Linked DNA regions of Drosophila melanogaster. The protein of the gene in region 2 purifies or fractionates together with the protein of the main gene of each other region. This does not show direct contact. Each region holds a gene or a part of one and is shown on either strand. Other genes may lie near its edges. The genes, in order: Snap24 and nSyb.

Region 1 (4,301 bases), on a different chromosome or scaffold from region 2:
GCCTGCAGCCCGGCCAGGCGATCTACTTGGGCGCGAACGAGATTCATGCCTACCTGGACGGCGACTGTGTGGAGTGCATGGCTTGCTCGGACAATGTGATACGGGCGGGCCTAACGCCCAAGTACAAGGATGTGGACCAGCTGCTGGAATCTGTGATCTTCGAAAGTTCGTATAAGGATCGCAAGGAGTTCATTCCGTACCGCATAGATGACCAGGTCCAGGTCTATATTCCGCCAGTATCCGACTTTGCAGTGATAAATGTGAATATCGAACACTCGCTGGAGTCGTACAAGCTGGAGATACAAGCATTCGGCTCCATATTGATAGTTCTAAAGGGATCCCGCATTCTTAAATTGAAAACCCAGCAGGGAGATAAGGAGATCTTGGTAACCCGCGGCAGCATTGTGTACATTCCCGTCGAGGCGGCGCCGGAAATCGAATTCGCCCAGTCCGACGATTGCGACGAGGACTTCAGCGGCTACATAGCAACCAGCAACTACTTTCGAGTGCCCTAAAATTCTCAGTTAATCGAAATATTTTGTACAGTGCAATAAATCCATTAACACGTTTTGGTGGTGAATTATTTTGTTTATATTTACTTGCAATTAAGAGCTAAGAATGTAAGCTAAAGTGGCAATAGTAGCGATAAATAAGTTATCTAATCAATTGGCTATACTCGTTCCATAGTACATTTAATAATTAACGAGAAATATCTTGCGCACAAACAGGTAGTTTCTTAAATATTTGCGATAATTGCAACCAACAATTTCAAGTACTTAAGCTAGAGCTACGTAACTCGATCGGGGTTACATTCACTGGGGATAAATTATTCATATGTACGAAGCAAGAGGTTCGAGTGCAAATCTAGTGTAATTCAATAGAATTGGTGCTTGGACTGCTGTGCTGGGCTTGCGAAATGCCCAAATACATGGCCTACTTAAAAAGGGTTAACAATGGAGAACATAAAATTGGCTACGTTATACATAATTTCCGCCCGTCTTTGTTTGGTTTTTCGGTGCCCGTGCGGGATGCGGTGGTTCTACGAATTGTAAATACATTAATTCACATTTATCCATCTCAGCAGTTGCTTGGTTTGATTTCACAAAGATCGGTAAAATGCTCAAAAAGTTTGTACCAAAAACAGAGTACATCATATACGGTAAATCTCATAATAAAATTGTTTCCGGCGCCATCTGGTTGCCATTTGTACACGAGTGTAGTAATAGTAAGTAGTTAGTATGTTGGTTCGCATATATGTATATATATATATATATATATATATATATATATATATATATATATATATATATATATATATATATAGTTTTAGAAAGTAGTAGTTAGTTCATCCGGCTCGGCGGCTTAAAGTTCTTGTAAGTAGATGGGTTTGTTACGCTTGCGTTTGCCAGGAGTAGTTGCCACTACTTGTATATGTGTATAATATATGGTATCAATAACGCAATACCACCAGCTACGGTTTGTGCCCACAACATTGGTTTCTTTCCCTAACAACATTGAAATGGAGGTGGTGTCTGACTAACATGTTCGCTATGGTTTCGGGACGTGGCCGTTGTGCATATTTAACTCTTGAGCAGATTGTTGGCGCGCTTGTTCACGCCGTCCATGCGAATGTTGTTGGCATCGCCCTTGGCATTGATGCGATCAACCTGTTTGTTTTGGTTCTCCAGCTCGGAGCCCATGTCCAGGGCCATGTTGCGCAGGTTGCCCAGCATCGAGTTCACCTGCCCGAGATTCTCGTCCATCTCATCCTCACGCGCATCGTTCGTGATCCTGGCCACATAGCCGGACTGCGGTGGTGCACCCATGCCGCCGCGTTCCCGCTCATCAATGACCCTTTGCGGCTGGCTGGCCACGATTTTGCCATCGTCATTGGCCTTCCAGGCGCTCTCACCGTCGTCCTTGATGTTCACCTTCTTCCACGGCAGCACACAGATGCCACAGCACTTTTCCATGCCACTCAAGTTCTTCTCCGCCTCCCTCATGTCCGCGTTGATCCGGTCCATGCCCTCCTCAATGCGGTCCAACTGCTCGCCCTGGTCATCCAGGGCCACCAGCGTGCGGATTCCAGCCTCCTTGCTTTCGTCCATGAGGGCGAGCATCCGACGCGTGCTCTCCAGGGATTCATCGGCCACCTGTCCGGACTTGAACTGCAGCTCCTGGAGCTCAGTGCGCGGCTCGGCATTCTCCACGGCGGCCATTTCGGAACTATCTATCTGGTGAGATCACTTGAACTTGAGCTTGGCAAGTGGTTGAGAGGCAAGACGGCTGTCTTGTTTTTTTTTTGGGTGGGGAAATCTGGCCAGTGACTCACTCGCGCGAGATGAAAAACTACCCTTGGTGCTGGTTCGGTGTGTGAACTCGGTGGATATGTAATTGGGGCGGGGATGAGCTCGTTTGTGCTCCGTACGTAGGAACTTATTGCCAAGGTTTAATAATTTATTTGCGAAAGTATGAATTTTCACACCACACAACAATTCGCCAATTTGTATACTAGAGCTGCAAAAAAATCGATGTTAGTATCGATGTCGTTTTCGATAGGCGATTTTTACGTGTGTTCACACTGTTTAATATTGCATTTAGGCTTAGTTCGCAACAAGTACAATTAAAGAAATTATGCAAAACAAGCTGCAAACTATTTACGAAACAGGGCTTGCTTACGTTTTACTATTAAATCTGAGTTTAAAAGTTTAATATTGCATTTAGGCTTAGTTCGCAACAAGTACAATTAAAGAAATTAAGCAAAACAAGCTGCAAACTATTTACGAAAGAGGGCTTTCTTACATTTTACTATTAAATCTGAGTTTAAAAGTCGATTTACCATGCATAAACTAATAATCCAGTCTGATATTACACTTTTATCTAAGACATGAACCCTGTTCGAGTCTGATAAAACACAATTATTTTATGTTTTCAAAAATATTTCCCATCTAGTCACTGTAACCTTTCAATTCGTCGTGTGCCGAAAAAATTAGATTTATTTCTACAAAGTCTCCTACGCGTTAACATCAATTTGAAAGTAGTGAAGAATTTATAGTTTTTTCAATACTTTTCATAATTTAAAGCCGCGCATTCCCATCGGCGCCGTTGCTATCTTCATTGCGCGCGCAGTGTTGAAAAGTGTGTTTGAAATATTAACGCTTTGTTTTTTCGGTACAGCGTCGGTCTTCAGCTGCTCGAATTTTTGCTTAATTGCTTGTATTTATTAATTTGGGAATTCCTCGTGGCCAATTGGGAATAGCATATACTTAACCATGGACGATTCGCGCAGAACTATGGCCGGCAAGGCAAGTGTTTGGTGGTTTCAGTTGGTGTTGCTTCCATTTGCCGGGAAAAGACTTCCGAACATTATCCCATTTTCATTGCTAAAACAATAGTTTCACTTCCAGCAGATCGATTCCCGTAGCTCATCGATAATGACAAACGATGAGAGCGTCTCCATGTATTTATCCTTTGACGCGGAGGACACCCTGTCCAATGCCAAGTGGCAGTCGGCCCTGGTCACCCAGAACAGCCAGTTCCTGGAGGTGCACAACAGCAAGGTGGAGGTAAACACCGATGATAAGGACCTAAGGCGCACTATCCTAAAGGATCTGCATCAGTTGACCATTGGGGAACCGGACCAGAATTCTCCTCTGCGCCCATTTGACAAAAGTATTCTTAACCGGCACAACGCCTTGTGCTCCACTCCCTCCAAGGGCAATATTTCGACCGAAACGCAGACACCACAGATCATGGAGAGCATAGATCTGACCCAAATTGACGACAAGGAAAACACACAACCGGAGGGGTGTGGCGGCGATAACTCGACCTTGTCCAGTTCAGTGGACGTGACCGCCAATACGGTTAAGGCCAATACCCTAAAAACAGGGGATGCTACCATGGACAATGTATCCTTGCAGGAGGCTGCCAAGACCCCAGCTCCCAGCCAAGTCTATCCCTTGAGTGCGAACGTAGTTTTAGAGAATATAACTGAAGGTAGGTTTATACTATTGAGATATGGTTTCGTTCTATAAACATCTACATTTACAGTATCCAACGAAGGAGTATCCATGCTGGTCTCGCCAGCCGGAGCCGAAAAGGAGGTCGCCCATGTCAACGAGGTAGTGAACGAAGTCTCTGAGCTAATTGCCAAAGCTCTAAAGATCTCCGCTGATTCTGTGAAGCCAGCGACCTCCAAATTAAAAGTGGAGGCGGGCAAGAAGAGGCAGTCCATGAGCTCCACTTATTCGGGTGCCGCCCTACCGCGCCCTCGGCGCTCCTATCTGCCCACCACCACCGCA
Region 2 (7,863 bases):
TGCTGGCTTCATTTCTTTTTTGTTTGTTGTTTTTTTTTCCAGCCGACTACGCTTGCTGTTTTTGTATAAGTAAACTTGCTTGAAAACATTTAACTGCCTTTTCTCTGGCGGCCCGTCGATTCAAATTCATCTTTTTGGATTATACATTTCGAATATCATATTTGCGTAACTTTACTTAGGAACAAAGCTTAGATTTCATTTCTTTGGTTTCGCGTCTGTTCCGAAATAGTTATGATTCTGTTAGTTTTGTCTAGTCGATTTGCTAAGGAAACTGAGTTCAAAGAGCTGCGAACATCGGGAAGCGACCGCCTGTCCTCCTGCTTCCACTGGCGCTCCTTGTTGCCAGTGCAGCGTAGAGATGCTAGTTCCGTATAGGGTGGTAGTACAGGGTAGTGGTTGGAGTCACTCGTAATATTCAAGTTCCATATATTTGTATTTGTATTTAGATTTGTATTTATATTTATAATTATATATACCGTTTTATGCATGAAATAATGTAACCATAAACAAATTAGCAACAACTTCAAATTGTCCGGAGCGTCTGCATTAGATTTAGTATTAATATTATGACGTAAGTTACTTAAAACCTCTCACACCAACTCGTGCACATCGTCTAAGTGAAAATTATTATTGAGTTTTCATTGCAATTCTCGAGATTTTCTAGTTTAACTGAGTTTTCCTTTCTTGGTTTTCTTTTGTCTTCTCTGCTTTGTTTTCGCCCGCTGAAGGAGCACACTAATCGAGAAACTTTCGTCCTGGCAGCGGGATTGCTTACACGCCGCCGTGATCGCCAGCTCCTGCCGATCCTCCTGCTCCTGCTCCGTCTCCTGCTCCTGCCGCATCCACCAGCGATGACTGTCCTCCGGCTGGCTGCTGCGGTGGCGGCGGCGGTGGCTGCATGTACTGTGGGGGATACTGGTACTGTGGCGGCTGCTCCCCGCCTATGAGTCCAAGTTTATCTGTTTTAAAATGATGCAAGAATTAGTAGGGCACGACATGTGATGGCTCTTTGCGCTCTTTAGCCAATCTCAGACAACGATACACGAGTATACGCCAAAAATATTACACTTCAAGGCTTAAAAGCTCACTCATGACGGAATATAGCAAGTGGACATGGGATGTGGACGGTGGGTGGGGGCGGACAGCAGGGACAACTGCATCGAACAGGTATGGATATATATATATATATATACATATATATTTATGTACATTTAGGCAGTCACTGGAAGCTGTCTTCCTTTGAGCCTCCCGAAGAGAAGTCCTCTCGCTTTTGGTGCAATAAACTTAGGCCAATTTTAAAATACATACAACATTGAATTGTAAAAATCAAATAATAAGGCACTAATCACACATAGACATCGATTAACTCACATACATGCGGCTAAGGCTGGCGGTAAACGATGAGACACCGTTTACAGCCAGCCGAAATAATATAAAACCAGAGGAACGGCGGAAACGGAAGTGGGAGCACAAACGGAAACGGAAGTAAGAAGAAGCGCAGGTGTCAAATTACTGGGTATGATTATTTGCATTGATATGTTGCCGTTTTTTCGTTTGCTTACAGTGTATCGGATTAGATCGATTTTGTCAATGGTACAAAGAAAGTGTGAAATGTTTTCTTTTCGATTTTGATTAATTTTGACTATGGTTCTACGGATGCGTCTTGGTGGTTAATCGATGGCTGATTAGTTTGGTTGGTTGGTTGGTTGGTTGGTTGGTTGAATGTTGGTTTTCAAGAGAGATCGTGAGCGTTCTATTGTCCAGTCGCCACTTCATTCGACGGACTCTGTGGGTGGTCGGTCAATTTCTCGGCCAATGGTTTCTCGAGTGTCGGTGGTTCAGATTTTAGATTTTGTGTATGGTGGTGTGGTTGTAGTTGTTGTTCTTGTTGTTGTAGTAGTTGTGGTGGTGGTGGTGGTGCTGAATCAGGTGCAGTTGCCGATGCCGGAGCCACCTGCTGCTGCAAGGCAGGAGGCTGCGGAGCAGCATTATCATCCGACATGTACGGTTCTACGAGAAATTTTTCGGTGAGTTCATGTTGTTGTTTAATTCAAATCGATTTGTTTTCAAAGCGAGCAGATAAAGATGATAACAATAAAGTATAAATATAGAAACGGTTTTGAGCGATGTAAAACAAAGGATTTATCAACTGGTGCACCTAGCAATAAATGTGGCGTATGAGTAATAAATAAAAGATTGCTCTCGCTGTTTACCTCACACACAAAGTGTTATATTGGGTAAATTGATTTGCTTATGGTTAATAAAATTGTACAAAGCTGAAGCTTTCTGTGTGATTATTCTTCGTCTTTCTCTGTAATTGTTCAAAAATATGGTTCGGTGTTGAGAGTGTGTCAAATCAAGGTGAAAACATTAAAAAAAAACTTAGGTAAATGAAGAAGAATGGCAGTACTTTATGCTTTTGCTGTGGTTCAGTGGCACAAGAAAGGCTGGCTTTTCCAATCCGAAGGCCGTTGCGCTTGCGTGGAGGCTTAGTAACGAGTAACGAGTAACGAGTTGCGTGAAGGCTTAGTATTGAGTAACGAGTTACGAGAAGGGACTACTTTTACTGGGGAAGTGGATTCAAGTTTTGTATTTTACACAGGACATGGCACAGTCGTGTGTCTGTGGCTGGGGTGCTGCTGCCAATATCAGAACGAAACAAACGAAAAACGGATACGGATACGGATACGGTTAACGAAACACTGAACAAACCACAAACTTTACGATTACGGCTTACGGGAGTTAGAACTAGCTAGCTAGAACTTAAGGTCCTACGGATAAGGCTAACGGGCACCATTGAGTATCGGTCCATCTCCGCCAGATCGGCTTCTGGCCGGGGTCCTTCCATTGTCGTCCAGACCCTCAGCCGCAACCCACATGGACGGAGCTGGCGGATCCGATACTCGGCGTGATCTCAACTTGATTACTGGTGGTGGTTAGGCAACGTAACGAAACGAAACAACACAGGACACGACTTTCAGTGGGCATCAAATGAAATCTTTACCGAACCTGTGCGTATGCTCGTATGGAACCAGATGATGTTGGGCTTGGGCATACATGGTACACAATACAAATACTCGCATATGTATGCCACTTAGCATTTAGTTATTGTTCTAGTGGTGGCTGAAGCGCATGACATGATATGATCGATCGATCTATAGTTATGGGAATTTCGCAAGGCATCTAGGTCGAATCGGTTGAGCGAACGGTCAGTTGGACTGTGAGTTCGCAGCTCTACTCATAGCAGTTGTGAATGAGTTGAATTTGGTTTCGGTTTTGGTTTCGATTTGGATTTCGATTGGTTCTTATTGGGTTGATTGATTGGCTTTTGATTTGGTTTCGATTTGCATTGCATTGCGGCTAAGAACTAAATTCTTACGGATTAGATAGTTAGCAATCTACATAAAGTTACCTAGAGAAAAAAAGTGGCGGAATTAAGAACGCAATTTAGATTCGGTGTGTAGATAAACGAAAGCGATTTGGGCCAACGAAATCAGCGCTAAATCAAGGCGAACTCAAAAGACAAACACAACTGGGTAACTGGGTGATCTTGAAAGTATCTTCGGTTCTGTGTGTGCGTGGTGAGTCGAGTGGTGTGGTGTGGTGTGGCGTGGGTCAAGGTCAGTTTCTCTGGGGTATGTGTGTCCCAGAAATGAGTGCACCAAGTTCGCCCAGGATCTGTCAACTTACTTGCAATAATGCCCACGACAACCAGGCCAATCACGCCCATGATGATCATCATCTGTGCGGAGAAAACAAAGATTGAAGTTCGGTCCGACAAGGTAACTGCCATCGTCGCACTTACCTTTAAGTTCTGAAGCCAGAATTTCCTCTTGAGCTTGCCCGCCTGCTGCTCAAACTGCGAGGCACCCTGCTGCAAGGCATCGGCACGGTCGTCCAGCTCCGACAGCTTGCTGTCGCGCTCCAGCACCTTCTCCACGTTCGTGCGCATGATGTCCACGACCTGGTCGGGGATTCAGGGTTGCAGTGGTTAATGGAATGGCTGATCTGTGATCGACTTTCAGTCCCGGAACTCACCTCATCGACCTGCGCCTGCGTCTGCTGCAGACGCTTCTGTGCCGCGATCTGCTGCGGATTGTGTGGTCCGCCCACAATCTCGCCATCGCCGCCCTCTCCGGCCGGGGCTCCGGCATTGGGTGGTGCATCGCCAGCTGGTGCAGCGTCCGCCCTGCGGAGGAGGTCGTCATTAGTCATCGGATGCGAGAACAAGAATAGCTCGGGCCAAGATTAATCAACTTCCAACGGGGGCTCTCGCATTAAATACAGTACTTAGATTACACAAAGAGTGGGTGTGGGTGGGTGGTTACGAACGACTATGGTTTCTAGCTTTAATCGAAATATCTCCAAGATACGTGTGGGCTACGGACAGTGCTGGAGTATAGTTCTAGCCAGCTACCCTTTAACTTGGAGAGACACTTACTGTTCCTTGTTCTTGTCTTTCTTTCCCATCTCAGACCCCCAAAAACTTTGACCTTTAACTCGGCTTCTGGGCTCTGCGGGGCCAAAGGAAGGGAAATTGTTAATTTTAAATAAAAGAATTACAATAGGCGAAGCTACTTATGCTGGACTAGTTTGTATGGTTTCTACGTGATGCATATTTTTTAGTGAAACAAACAATAGAGTGAAGTATCTCAGTATTATCCATAGTCATTTGGTCATTTGGTATTGGTTATTGTTGTTGGCAAAATGTTTTCATCGAACCGTATTTCCCTTTCCCACGACAAAGAAAAAGAAATCAATATCTTACCCTAATCCCTACGACCGGCGACAATTGGTTTTTTTTTTTTACCTACGTGGAGGGAATATTTTTGGATTTCTCAACTTTCCCCGGCTTTTATTGGCAAAATCAATTTTATATGGAATCAAAGAGCATTATCAACAACTTGTATGTGTGTATAAGACGAGCTTTTCTTTTGATCATGACACATATCTTATGTTTGGTTTCAAGCGACCAAAAGAAATAGGTGCAACTTAGTTTGCATGTCCTGACTCACGGGTGCGAATCGTGTTTTTATTGATTTTGCGGTGTGAGAGACTTGGCCATGTGATGCCACAACGTCATCGCCAAGTGATTCATGCCTAGCGAACCGAAACGGCAGCTGCAGCTGGCCCGTGTTCCTTTTACGGATTTTACGGGCGCGAGCACTTGGACAAATGACAAATGAAATGAGCGACCCATGCTGCGTATACTTAATGCGGCTATCAAACGAGCATTCCCTCTGTGACGGCGAAAAGCAAGGCGGGGAATCGAAACCCCCATTTCCCCGCCGGAAAACGAATCAATAACGTCCATCCACTTACATGGCTCTGGTGGCTGTGTGGTTGCTTCTGTGGTTTGGCTGGTGGTGCTCTGGTGGCCTCAGCGAATTCGGCTGTCGATGATTAGGATGAAGGTACTCTATGCACGATGCACTTGGCCTCTTTCACTGTCTTCCACTGGCGCAGGTCGGGATGTGGGATGGTCAGTGGGCGGTGGTGGCGTTGGTGGTGTAGGTAGTGGGTGGTGGTGCAGCTGAACTCTGTTTCGTTGTTTTTGTTCTAGAGGGTTGCGCTCTCAGTGCCGCTTCTCTCTCTCTCTCTCTGTTTCTCTCTCTCTCTGTCGCTCTTCCGCCAGAGCTTTTTCGCCCCGTCGTCAATGAAAATTCACTCCACTCCACGGGGGGATTGGCTGGATCTGGATGATGTGTATGTGTGCGGGTAACACTTGCCACGACAGCCTTTCGCAGGAATTTTCTGGCTCAGCGCTGGAACTGCTGCTGAATAGAGTGCGAAAATAGTTGCAACTATTTTTAGTACATCGGTTAATGCTTGAAATGGGCAGCTATGGGATTCTAATTGGGACGTAAGAGGACTATTTGGGTGGCAGCAACACGCCCAGCCATGAGGCATGTCCTTCCTCATTTCCGTTGCATACCCCCAGGGGCACCTAAGATGTCTTCAAAATGCAAAACGTTTTAAAAATAATTTCAAGTGCCCAACTGGCCAACGTGGGCTCAGAAGAAAAAATCAATGAAATTCTGCACGACAAGGGTTTTCGCTGACTTTGGTTGACATTTCGTTTGATCTTCGTTTTCCTAATCAATCAGTTTTAGCACTTTTGATCAGAATCACTTTACTTTTGCTCGGGCAACTTGAGTTTACAAAAACCAGGCTTAACTAATATTTTACGAATTTTTTTACGCAGCACCAGGAAAATTTTCACTTACGACGTTTTTGGCCAACTGCGAAAACTTGCAGCTTTCCTAACTGTTATGTGTATTTGGGGAAAAAGCTGCCTGGATGGCCAGCAGCGAATGGTGTTCCAGCGAGAAGCTTTTCCTTAGCGATTTCCAAGTGCCGATGGCCAAGGGGTGGGAAATTTAAAAACAAGCCGGGCTTTCCATCAAGAAAAAGAAATGCTCAAAGTTCTAGTAATATTACAGTTTGAAGTTTTAACTTTGTATTTTTAAATATATCGTGTAAATAATTATATCAATTGATTTGAACAAGGTTTAAAATGCACAGAACTATTCGTCTAAATTGATTTAAAGCGGTTTCCTGAACTTTGTCTGAATCCACACGCGGTACATTTTCAAGCCGCGACAGCGATTAACTTGCAGTCTTCGGTCCACAATGAGCTGCTCCTCCTGCAGCCCCGCTTGAGTCATCATACCCCGCAGTTCTTCCTCCGTGAAGAAGTACACCATGGTGCCGTCGCCTCGCACGTAGAAGTTGTCCTCCATACACTTGCCGCTCTTGAAGCGCAGCTGTGCCAGGTCGTATCGTCCGTAGTCGCGGAAGAGGAGCAAGCCACCGGGACGCAGGTAGCGATAGCAATTGTCCAATACCCGCTGCATTTTCTTTGGCTCAATTGCGGACAGCACAAAAATCATCACAATAATGTCCTGTGAGTTTTCCTCGAAGGGCACCTGCCAATGATCCAGCGTGGCATCCATGACAAACACCTCGCAGCGCTTCTCGTCGAACTGCCGTTGGCTTCGCAGGATTTCAATGGCCCGGGCGGAGAAGTCACATCCGAAAACCTTGAGCTGCGGTTCAGAGCTGTACTGTAGAAGGGGTAAAATTGTGTTTCCTACTCCACAGCCCAGTTCGAAAATGCTACGTGGTTGCAGTACCGCCGAATCCGCCGCCAGAGGAGCTAGTTCGGGGAACTCCGTAAACAGCCAGTGGCGATCCTTGAAGAAGCGGTTGTCGTGAATGCCGTAGAAGGAATCCCAAAACTTGGGGGCGTCTGTCTGAAATCGCTCCTTCTGCTCCGCTTCCATCTTTGAGGTCGAATTCTTGGCTACAGCCGCCTTCGCGGCCAGTTCCTGCTCTTCATCCCATTGCACGTGGTCCCTGTGAATCCATGTTTAGAGGGATTTTCATGAGTACTGAACGGCAGATAAGTACCAGGCGTTAAACTCGAACACCTCTCGCGCGTCGGTGAGCACCCGGCTGCCCGCTCCCGACGGTTTTTTACGCTGGCGAGTGTGTTCCCAACTTTTGCTGGCCAATCTCCGGAGGATTTGCCACCCATATTTACCAAGCATTGTGCTTGAAGACGTCGTCAGCATCCGTGAGCAGGCGGGTTCCGAACTGCGGTCGCTTTTCGTTCTCCGCGGCGGGGTTGTCACTCATATCGGACAGGAATGACGGTATATATCACCTGTTTGTGCGATCCAAATTATATATTTTGGTAAACACGCCGCCAGTGTGGCCGTGCACCGATCCAATAAAGTTAAACCGTTAGTATTTTCGAAGCGGCTCTCTTCCGAGCGGGAAATCGGATGTACCCGTTATCGCCCTTTTTTCCAAAAGCAATTGTGAAATATGTGTTCTATGTGTGTTTAGTTTGTGGCG

The links.
Region 1: the proteins of nSyb (region 2) and Snap24 purify together in Drosophila melanogaster (affinity purification with mass spectrometry; 2 studies listed by BioGRID, with this or other methods). This does not show direct contact.

What each region holds. Positions count from the first base shown.
Region 1 is NT_033777.3:9,760,631-9,764,931, forward strand, and holds Snap24 (Synaptosomal-associated protein 24kDa), read right to left. Parts: upstream 2,521-4,301; 5' UTR 2,220-2,520; coding exon 1,581-2,219; 3' UTR 675-1,580; downstream 1-674. Other genes in the region: Mpi (mannose phosphate isomerase), read left to right, coding at 1-515; CG8478 (uncharacterized protein), read left to right, coding at 3,273-3,305, 3,396-3,996, 4,051-4,301.
Region 2 is NT_037436.4:1,631,496-1,639,358, forward strand, and holds the start of nSyb (neuronal synaptobrevin), read right to left. Parts: upstream 6,180-7,863; 5' UTR 6,138-6,179; intron 6,118-6,137; exon of another isoform or gene 6,064-6,117; intron 5,778-6,063; exon of another isoform or gene 5,775-5,777; 5' UTR 5,325-5,774; coding exon 5,323-5,324; intron 4,515-5,322; exon of another isoform or gene 4,471-4,514; coding exon of another isoform or gene 4,442-4,470; intron 4,190-4,441; coding exon 4,039-4,189; intron 3,965-4,038; coding exon 3,806-3,964; intron 3,743-3,805; coding exon 3,691-3,742; intron 3,413-3,690; coding exon of another isoform or gene 3,399-3,412; exon of another isoform or gene 3,010-3,398; intron 2,312-3,009; coding exon of another isoform or gene 2,295-2,311; exon of another isoform or gene 2,214-2,294; intron 2,011-2,213; coding exon 1,754-2,010; 3' UTR 1,563-1,753; intron 960-1,562; coding exon of another isoform or gene 772-959; 3' UTR 1-771. Other genes in the region: Mettl2 (methyltransferase like 2), read right to left, coding at 6,546-7,359, 7,414-7,577. UniProt on the Drosophila melanogaster protein: Involved in the targeting and/or fusion of transport vesicles to their target membrane. Major SNARE protein of synaptic vesicles which mediates fusion of synaptic vesicles to release neurotransmitters.